Arabidopsis thaliana: one gene and its partner. The protein of the gene in region 1 interacts with the protein of each later gene in a pairwise test. Each region holds a gene or a part of one and is shown in the gene's direction. Other genes may lie near its edges.

Evidence for each region. The genes of interacting proteins can lie anywhere in the genome.
Region 2: the proteins of RAC3 (region 1) and GDI1 come close enough for resonance energy transfer, tested with the Arabidopsis thaliana proteins (one study listed by BioGRID).

The regions. Positions count from the first base shown.
Region 1 is NC_003075.7:16,670,550-16,675,339, forward strand, and holds RAC3 (RAC-like 3), read left to right. Parts: upstream 1-1,642; 5' UTR 1,643-1,694; exon of another isoform or gene 1,695-1,871; intron 1,872-2,234; exon of another isoform or gene 2,235-2,282; 5' UTR 2,283-2,305; intron 2,306-2,369; exon of another isoform or gene 2,370-2,416; 5' UTR 2,417-2,626; coding exon 2,627-2,725; intron 2,726-3,029; coding exon 3,030-3,117; intron 3,118-3,201; coding exon 3,202-3,311; intron 3,312-3,413; coding exon 3,414-3,477; coding exon of another isoform or gene 3,478-3,557; exon of another isoform or gene 3,558-3,575; coding exon 3,576-3,640; intron 3,641-3,721; coding exon 3,722-3,787; intron 3,788-3,886; coding exon 3,887-3,991; 3' UTR 3,992-4,240; downstream 4,241-4,790. Other genes in the region: BGAL11 (beta-galactosidase 11), read right to left, coding at 71-165, 247-390, 482-574, 664-730, 816-928, 1,027-1,122, 1,216-1,425. UniProt on the Arabidopsis thaliana protein: Inactive GDP-bound Rho GTPases reside in the cytosol, are found in a complex with Rho GDP-dissociation inhibitors (Rho GDIs), and are released from the GDI protein in order to translocate to membranes upon activation.
Region 2 is NC_003071.7:18,239,873-18,245,511, forward strand, and holds GDI1 (guanosine nucleotide diphosphate dissociation inhibitor 1), read left to right. Parts: upstream 1-1,596; 5' UTR 1,597-1,931; coding exon 1,932-2,018; exon of another isoform or gene 2,019-2,367; coding exon 2,368-2,430; intron 2,431-2,518; coding exon 2,519-2,602; intron 2,603-2,691; coding exon 2,692-2,799; intron 2,800-2,987; coding exon 2,988-3,160; intron 3,161-3,253; coding exon 3,254-3,365; intron 3,366-3,474; coding exon 3,475-3,555; intron 3,556-3,655; coding exon 3,656-3,718; intron 3,719-3,835; coding exon 3,836-3,937; intron 3,938-4,109; coding exon 4,110-4,234; intron 4,235-4,479; coding exon 4,480-4,690; intron 4,691-4,772; coding exon 4,773-4,847; coding exon of another isoform or gene 4,848-4,859; exon of another isoform or gene 4,860-4,938; coding exon 4,939-4,992; 3' UTR 4,993-5,136; downstream 5,137-5,639. Other genes in the region: AT2G44090 (Ankyrin repeat family protein), read right to left, coding at 1-125, 454-956; MLO15 (Seven transmembrane MLO family protein), read right to left, coding at 5,617-5,639. UniProt on the Arabidopsis thaliana protein: Regulates the GDP/GTP exchange reaction of most RAB proteins by inhibiting the dissociation of GDP from them, and the subsequent binding of GTP.

The DNA.
Region 1 (4,790 bases):
ATTCAACACTTATATGAATGAACCTAAGGTTTTTACATGTTTAATTCAAGAGTAAGAAAAACAAACTCACTGAGTAGTCCAATTCTCAGTCCATAAAGATGGTTTGTTTTCTCTGTTTGGACCGGGGAAAGTATCACCGCAATGTCTTCCATTACAAGCATTGATCTGTTTCCACAGTGTTTTCAAATATTTTAAAACTTTCTTCCTCATTCGGATAAAACACAATCATGTAAAAATGAACTTTACCATAGGATCAGGAGCGTCGTTCTGCTTGCACATAACCCATGGGATCCCGAGTTTCATTGAGTCCACCAAATTAGATGCCCATTTAATGTAGTTTAACCCGTCTTGTTTATATGCACGTTGAACCGCGCTATATTCGTTTTCTATCTGCAATTCATATTCATTCCAAAACTCATCATTTTATAACATTTTTCAAATCATATATAAATATATAGGTTTCTCTTTTCTTTGTTGTCACCTGTCCTAATATAATGGGGCCTCCTTGTGACGCAAACAATCTTTCCTCCTTCATTTTGTCGAGTATCATCCGTACATACCTTTCTGTATGCTCCTGCAATATTTTTATGGTCATATCTTGTAATATATCTAATTGTAACAAAACACACATTGACATATATATAGTAATTCTATGTATAATACCTTGAATTGTTTATTGTCTGTACGGAAGAAAATTCCAGGAACTTCTCTAAGCCAATAAGGAAGTCCTCTGATCATCACAAAGAGATCATATAAAATGTTAAAATGAAGATCTTGAGAACGCCGAAAAAGAAGAAGAAGCAATGCATTATTACCCATGAGTCCATTCAGCTTGGATGAACGGTCCAAGCCTTAAGGTCACATACATTCCATTCTTTTGAATCAACTTTATGAACTTCACCAAATCAGCTCGTCCCGAAAAGTTGAACTGATGAACGCAACACAAAATACATTATGAATCCTAAAGATTCATGCATGCGTGTTTTATATGTTCTATATATAGATCAGTTTTTGGTTATGAATTACCTTTCCTTGTTGAGGCTCATGTACATTCCAGAAAACGTATGTCTGAATCGTGTTCAAACCGCCTTGCTTGGCTCTCTTGATGATACTTGGCCACATCTAAACCAAACCCAAATGACACAATAATCTCAATATACAAAAAAAAAAAAAAAACGTTTTAGAAAAACAGAGATTATGTGATTCAATAAATACTTCCGGAGTGCTTCTCGGGTAATGAATAGAGCCAGAATAAAGAAGCTCTCTTTTGCCATCGATGATCAAAGAGGTTCCATCATATGTCACCTCCTTATTACTCTTCTTCTTCTTCTTGGCGTCCTTCTTGGCCGCGAAGGAGGAAGAAGACGAGAGGAGAACGACAAGAACAGCTGTTAAAAGCCATCGATCAAGAGAATGTTTTCTCATTGAACTCTCTTCTTTTTCTTTTTTGAATTAATTTTTGGTGTCGTACGTAGAACAAGAAGCTAAGTTCTCTTGGAACCTCGTCCTTGTCGGAGGAATAAAAAACAAGGAGAGCTCAAATAACAAGCTTTCAGAAAAGAGGATGATATAAGAGAATGTTTCGCACTCAGGTTTTCAGGTTTCCGGAGAAATTTACGCGTCTGAAATAGAATCCACCGTTGTAACTTTGAAACTCTCTTCATTTTTCCTTTTCGATTTTTTTTTTTTAATTTGTTTTTGCTATTTTTAAATGTTGGTTTCACCCTATTCTTCGCCTATTATGTTGGACATAACATAACAAATTAGTGAAATTACCATTCGTTTTTTTTGGGTCCCCATAACAGATTCTTTAACGGTCAATAAGTGTTTTTAAAATTAACGGTCAATAACTAGCTAGACAGATTCAAAAGGTAAGCCTTTATACCGTGATTGGTTATAAAAATATTAAATATTGACCTTAAGTTCACGTTTTTTTTAGTGTCTCAACATTTATTTCTTAGAGAAGTTGTATGTACATTTTTAATGTTTACTTCAACATACCGGGACAAAAATATTATCATTTAACATGTAACAGAAGAATATGTATCCAAAGGAGGCTGATCAATAAAAATTAACACTCCAATCATATTGCATTGTAAAACCAGCTATATTTTTTATTGATATTTAAACCATAGTTGTATAATCCTAATGACACATCGGAAAAATCCTCTAAACCAGTCAAAATTTAGCTAAATTTTTTATTGATATTTAAAGATCAATCTAAATATGTATAGATTTAGGCATTTAGTATATGGGCTGCATAGTATTAGATGAAAACGAAGTTTAAAAAAAAAAAAAAAAAAAAGTACATAGAAATTATTATTATAATTTTCATCCCATAAATTTTTGTAGGGTCTTATGTTGGGAAACGCACTATCTAAGAAGAAATGCTATTTTATAAAATTTTAGTAAAAAGAAGAAAAAAAAGGAAGAAGAAGACCAAGAAATTGAGGTGCATGTGAGGATGAGTAGTAAAAATTAGGAAGACTCTAGTCTGGGAGAGACTTTCAGCAGCTATTTCTTTGTCTTCTTTCTCTTTAAAGAACCTCACTCTCTCTCTCTTTAGTCAAAAATCCCCAATTCGTGAACAAATTAGGGTTTTTGAAGTTTGAAGAAGGAGAGAAAGATGAGTGCTTCAAGGTTTATCAAGTGTGTCACTGTCGGCGACGGTGCTGTTGGAAAGACTTGTCTTCTCATCTCCTACACTAGCAACACTTTCCCCACGGTTAGCTTTAAAGTTCTCTTCTTTTACTTTGATTTCGTGAAATTTTAGCTTGGTGAAGTTGGTTTTGTTGTTGAAGCTTATGAGTTGGATTTAGTCACAAGTATTTGTTAGGTTTTCTTAAAGTCTTCTTCTTTCTGCTACCTTAGTGAATGTACTGATGTGATCTTTAGGATTTGAGAGACTCAGAGATTCATGTACCGTAGCAATGTTGTTGATCTGTTTAATGATCTTAGAAAGAGTGTTAGGTAACTTTCTGTAAGGAGATTTTGTAGCTGATGTTTTAGTGGAATTTTCTATGTGACAGGATTATGTGCCAACTGTGTTCGATAATTTCAGTGCCAATGTGATTGTTGATGGCAACACTATCAACTTGGGATTGTGGGATACTGCAGGCAAGTTGTTACCTTGGATTTTTTTGTCTTTTGAATTTCCTCCTCTTCCAGAGAGTCATTTGTGTTTTTGACTTGGTGAAACAGGGCAAGAGGACTACAATAGACTAAGACCTTTGAGCTATCGCGGTGCAGATGTCTTCTTACTTGCATTCTCACTTGTCAGCAAAGCTAGCTATGAAAATGTTTCTAAAAAGGTTTGATCTGTGGTCTTCTCCTGAAACTTCTTTCCTGTTTTATTCAGTTTACATTCAGTGATTCTGATAGAATACATTTGGTATCTTGCTTTTGATTCTTAGTGGGTTCCTGAACTGAGACATTATGCTCCTGGTGTTCCCATCATCCTCGTTGGAACAAAGCTTGGTTGGTTTTTTCTTAGCTCAACTCTTAATCGCCTGATTATCGGGGGTTTTCTGTTTTGGGGAACTCTTCTGATATTTTGATGACTGAGTCTCGTACAGATCTTCGAGATGATAAGCAATTCTTTGCCGAGCACCCTGGTGCTGTGCCTATCTCTACCGCTCAGGTACCTTTCTCATTATCTTTCTAAACTGAATCCTAGGTGTTAATATTCTGCATGTTTCATATTTTGATGGTATCAAAACAGGGTGAAGAACTAAAGAAGCTGATTGGGGCGCCTGCTTATATCGAATGCAGTGCAAAAACTCAACAGGTATTAACCTGAGAGTCAATATCTTTATCTAATCTTTACCTGTCTAAAACCGCCAATTGAATCTGCTGATGATTCCTATATCTGTTATCTGTTCAACAGAATGTGAAAGCAGTGTTTGATGCGGCTATCAAGGTCGTTCTCCAGCCACCAAAAAACAAGAAGAAGAAGAAGAGAAAATCTCAGAAAGGTTGTTCTATACTCTGATTCAACAAGAAGAAAGGAATCAACAGGAGAATTAGAGCTATAAGTATTTGTTTTCTCCTTTTTCATAACTTGTTTACCCAAGGAATCAAAAATCTGTTGTTTGTAGTCTGAAAATGACAAAAGTTGAAGAACTAGTAACAAGTATTTGTATTCTTGTTTGCATTTTGATCTGTAAATATACCACGAATCCTTGATTTCTCTGTTTCCTAGATTCACACCAATTGTCTTAAGGATTATGTTCCAAACCTAAAGACAATGAGAGCTTACACGCGCGAACCAATGAGAATGAGAGAGCACTTGTCTTTCTTGGACAATAGTATCTAAACCAGCTTATTTGAAACCTTCTGAATGAGCCAGAGTGTCTTCCATACATATCAATTCCACATAGACCTAACCTGATCTTTAGACTATAATCTTCAATGATTTCAGAACCTCAAAACTTTTGATTTTACATTTTTAATCAAATTTATTTGATATTCATTTTGCTTATTGACTAGACGTTTTCCCCTTGGAGATAATAGAATGATTGATTTTAACTCTCACCGGAAAAGACAAAAAAAAGGAAAAATAAATCATTGATTAAATAAAATTTATGGTGAATAAGCTTGGCTTCTCTTTACCAAACATATATGTTTGTTGATCAATCTCTTTCTTTGCGTTATCTGCCCCTTGATTTAGACCCACGTATTATTCGATTCCTAAACTAATTGAAATGATTAGATATGTGTCATGACGTTTAGTGAACTAATATTCACCTAATATGTCTTTCAATCACTTAAGAATTTGCATTATTCTTGTG
Region 2 (5,639 bases), on another chromosome or scaffold:
GGCCCTGGCATCGGGAGTGAAAACCTATACATTTGAGTGCCCATTCAGTAAACTTTTGAACTTTAGCACCAGCTTCTGCTTTGAGGACCTCATCACCGTTACACTCTTGGAGACGCTCGTGCAACCTGGAAACGCCGAGATGGGAAAAAATGGATTTATATAGAAAGGGTATCTCACCCTTCCCAGCTAACCAAAGATAAACCAGGAGGAATAAGAACATAAGAGATACTATAGATTTAACAAAAAGCGATTTCTAAGAAAAGTTAACAACACTAAAACACTTGCAGATGTAACCAACCAATGTAACATGTAAGACACAATGTAGTGATCATATAAAGCAAAAACAAGGTATCATAACAGAAACCAACTTCTCCAATAATCCAAAAGTGTTTTACCATAATTATACTGAGAAAAAGGGGAAACATCTTATAAGAGAAAGTATCAAATGTGTACCTTTGAGCCATAACAGTTACAGTATCAGCAAGACTCACAGTCCGGCTATGGCAAGATGAAACACAAGAAGCAAGAAAGGAAGTCCTAAGTGTAGCTCTAGTATAGTCCTGAGCACCATGACATATGATCTTAGCAATCAATTCAGTGATTCCCCGTAACTCATGCTCTGTGCTCAAGAACCAAATAGAATCTAAACTAATACACAACAGATCATTCAAAGTTTGTGGATCAGCCAGCTGAATAAATCTCTCTGAAAGTTGCCAATCCTGTGAGCTAACAGCACCTTGGAAAAGCCGTCCCAATTCGATTCTATCCTGTCTATTAAGCTTCTTCTGTTGCTCAAGACCCCTGCATTTCAGTATCTTTGCAGTAGATCCAGAGCATTTGGTCGGTTGAGTGATGATACCTACAAGAGGTGACTCTCTTGCAAAAACAACATCACTCTCTTGAGGTTCCAAGTCAGAACCTACAGGCTCATCAGGATACATGTCATCGTTCTCCATCCACTCAGATTTCCAAAATCAATAATCCAAAAACTTGTTTTGACATTCGAAAAACCTTTGCAATAACAATACTGTATACCAACAAATCCCTTCCTCCTTGTACAAGCAAATGTCTTGTACCAAAATCAAAATCCAGACTTGCGCAATCAACCACTCCAAGAAATCAAACCCAGGAAGAAAAGAAAAAAGAGACTAGAGATTTCGTTCAGAAAATGCGGTAGAATCGATTCACGAGAGCGAAAAGGGTCTGAATTTTAGCAAAACGTAGTCAACAGAAGCATCCAAACCTTAAAATAAAATAAAAACAGAAACTGATCCCAATCAGAATCCATGGCCGAGCACAGCAATTGTGAATTCGGCCATGAAAATTGCATCGGAAAGAAGAAGAAAGATGTGAATTTGCAAATTACCAAAGAAGAACATTCGTAGAGGAGATGGGAAGATGAGCGAACCTGGACGAGATTTTCATTGAGAGGTCAAGAGAACAATGAGAGAATTTTTTTTTATTTTTTTATTGTAAAAATAATAATTGACAAAATTAATTAAATAAATTTGCTTTGCACTCACAGAACAGAACAGAAGATGACATTTTCTCTATTTTCATATTTGTCTTTTTGGTTTAATCGACTGGTTATTTATTTATTACCCTAAAAAAAAACGGAATTGTTTTAGAAAATGCTAATTGAATTATTAGATTGCTTCAGACAGCAAAAACATTATTGTAAATCTATTTATTACACACACAAAATTACTTTTAAGTTTTACTTGGTAATAATATTTAGATTTATCCAAATTTCAATAGCCAAATAAGAAAAAAAAAAGAGAAAAAGCATATAAGAAAGAAAGCATCTTTGGACTTGTCTGATTTTCTCTATAGACGCAATCACCGCCGATTCTCTCTCTCTCTCTCTCGAGTCTCTCGACGGTCGCATATCAAAAGTCCATTTCTTTCTTCTCTTTGGAGGATCAGCAACTATGGATGAAGAGTACGAAGTCATAGTTCTGGGTACTGGTCTCAAGGAGTGCATCCTTAGTGGTCTTCTCTCCGTCGATGGTCTTAAGGTCTCTCTCTCTCTTTTTGAATCCATGCTTGATCTGGAGATTTTCAATACTCTTAATTCGTTACTTACATGATGAACAACGGATCTAGTTGAGATTATTATCTCCGATTGTGTGATTTAAAGCTGGTTGCTTTGTGAGCTTCAACATGAGAATCAATTGGCTTCGCGATTTTGACAATGATCTGAATTTAATGCATTTAGTTAGTTATTGAGATTGCGTAAAAAGACTAAATTTTCATCATCTCCACTCCTATATCTTCTATGTGATTGATTAGCTGACTTTGTCGCCAAGTTTACTTCTTTTTATAAGTAATCTAATGGTCTACTAATTTCATCTATATTCCAATTAGGTACTTCACATGGACAGGAATGACTACTACGGTGGAGAGTCAACTTCTCTTAATCTCAATCAGGTCAATATTTTTGTTAAATATATATGAAGACTTTTTGTGGTAAGTTATAATCAGCGAGAGTTATTGAATGTTGCTTTGTTTTAAACAGCTGTGGAAGAAGTTCAGGGGAGAAGAGAAGGCTCCTGCTCATTTAGGTTCTAGCAGAGACTACAATGTTGACATGATGCCAAAGGTTATCAATATTAGCTACTTTCCAGCTTATCTAGCTTCCTTGTTACCAATATGAATTACTAACTGTTCTCTGTCAATGTGGCGCACCAGTTTATGATGGCTAACGGAAAGCTTGTTCGTGTCCTTATTCATACGGATGTGACCAAGTACTTGTCTTTTAAAGCTGTTGATGGAAGCTATGTTTTTGTCCAAGGCAAGGTACATTGATTACTCATTTTCATTTTTATCTTGTGCCTCATTCTCTTTTTTTTCCATAGATTTCAAGTCTGTTTGTGCATCTTTTTTTCTCCCATGTTTGATCTTGGTCAAAAGCTTTTCACTGATCATTCTAGCTTTGCAGCTTAAGTAATTTTTTTCTAGTTATATTAACTGTTTATATGCTACAGGTCCAAAAAGTGCCAGCAACTCCCATGGAGGCCCTCAAATCTCCTCTTATGGGTATTTTTGAGAAACGTCGAGCTGGAAAGTTTTTCAGCTATGTTCAAGAATACGACGAGAAGGACCCAAAAACACATGATGGAATGGATTTGAGGAGAGTTACAACTAAGGATTTGATTGCGTAAGCTGATGTTCTCTTGTCTTTTGCATTATGGTGTTGTCAATATTTGTTTTAGACTATCTGCTGCTAACTATCAATTTAACACTTTGGCAGGAAATTCGGTCTTAAAGAAGATACTATTGACTTTATTGGTCATGCAGTGGCACTTCACTGTAATGACAATCATCTCCATCAACCTGCCTATGATACTGTAATGAGAATGAAGGTGAATTGCTCTCATGGGACTTTAAAGTGTGGATCCCCTTGTTTTCGAAGTCTTCTTTTTTGCTCTCAGTATTTCATGTTTGACTCTGTTGCTTTAAATGTTTTATCAGCTCTACGCAGAGTCCCTTGCACGTTTTCAAGGAGGTTCACCATATATCTATCCTCTCTATGGGTTGGGAGAATTGCCTCAGGTTTTTTTCTTCTTTTGTACATTGCTTTATTTGGTTGGTGCAACTATTCTGGCGTTTTGGACTATAGTTTCTAAATTCTCTCTTATCTTCCTTGGCTCAGGCATTTGCACGACTTAGTGCTGTCTATGGTGGGACGTATATGTTGAACAAACCTGAGTGCAAGGTGCGTCTTTGACTTCCTTATCTTTGTGGCTTTTTTGTTTCGGTCGTTTCTGCAACTTTTTCTGTCGTTAACTATATGGATGCTAGATCTGATAACCTAATATTGCTTTTATAACAGGTAGAGTTTGACGAGGAGGGTAAGGTTTCTGGTGTTACATCTGAGGGAGAGACTGCCAAATGCAAGAAAGTTGTCTGCGATCCTTCTTACCTAACCAACAAGGTAATGGCTGTGACCGGATATCCTACAGTAACATTAGCTTTGTTGCATGCATATATCTCTCATCTCTGTTTTATGGTCTGTTGTTATGAATGTGAGCCTTTTAGGCAATTTTAACAATGTGAGCCTGTATGTTAACATTATTTTAAAATGTTTTATAATCCAATTCAAACAGGTCAGGAAGATTGGCAGGGTTGCTCGGGCGATTGCCATTATGAGCCACCCTATTCCAAACACCAATGATTCTCAGTCGGTGCAAGTCATTCTACCCCAAAAACAATTGGGCCGCAAATCAGACATGTGAGTTCTCTTATTCATCCTTTGGTTTCACTTATGTAAATGTGTTTGAATAATGTGTTAGCTAATCTTTGTCTGAATTATTCTCTTGAGCTTGCTGAGATACCTTCCTTGCTACACACTCTTCTCAACTATATTATTTCTTGATTACAACACATACACTCTATAAAACTTGGCAGTGTGTAACATTGAGTCGATTGATATATTTGTTTCTCGGCTCATGATTACATCTTTATTGTAACTGACAGGTATGTCTTCTGTTGTTCATATTCACACAACGTTGCTCCCAAGGGAAAGTTCATAGCATTTGTGTCAACAGACGCTGAAACTGATAACCCTCAAACCGAGCTCCAGCCTGGAATCGACCTTCTTGGTCCTGTTGATGAGCTGTTCTTCGACATCTATGATAGATATGAGCCTGTCAACGAACCCACTTTGGACAACTGCTTCATATCAACGGTTAGTTTCTCTACCCCTTTTTTAGTGAGCATCTTAAAGTTGGCTGGTTTCTAATAACCTTTTTTGTTCATGTCCTGAACAGAGTTATGATGCTACAACACACTTTGACACAACTGTTGTTGATGTGTTGAACATGTATAAATTGATCACCGGAAAGGTAATGTTCTAGAATCACAAATATATCGGTTTTTATTAATTGACGGCGACATATTCTGTAATTGGGGAGTGATCATTGTTTTGTGTTGCAGGAACTGGATCTAAGTGTGGATCTTAACGCAGCTAGTGCTGCAGAGGAGGAATGATGGAAAATATTGCAAGCTCTGTCTCTCTCTGTTAGTCACCAAATGATGTAACCGGTTCTCTTTCTCCCTCTTCTTAAAAGTTGTCTCACCAAATGTTCTGTTAAAATACTAAATCAAACCGATCTCATCATGCGTACCTATTCCCGGTTATCGCAGTCTGTTTTTTTCTTCTCAAAAAACTAAAATGTTGGATTTCGTGGTTTTTGTTTGGAGTGTCTAATATATCATCATGCTCTTCCGTTTGAACAATTATCGTCTCAATCGTTTCGTAGAGAGTCGTTGCTTAACAAGTTGAATAGTAAATGCATAGCAAAACTAAACTAAGCATATTAAATGACTGGTAATACACACAAACCATTATTTTGTTCTTCAAACCGACATAGATTGTTTTTCTTCACATGTCAGTTTAAAATCATATAAACGAACACAAAATTGAGCATTATAAACGGCTCTGTAGAAATCACATATCTTGTTTGATCAAACTGGCAGACAGATTCAGCATCTTTGCTGTGTTTATTTGTTACAACGCCTTTCAATCAGTTATATATACCAAACAAAGTCGAACAAGTTCAAAAAATCAAAAATCACAACAACAAAAAAAATGTCAGAACAAGTTTTTGTTTGTTAATCATGGTGAGCAATCTCTG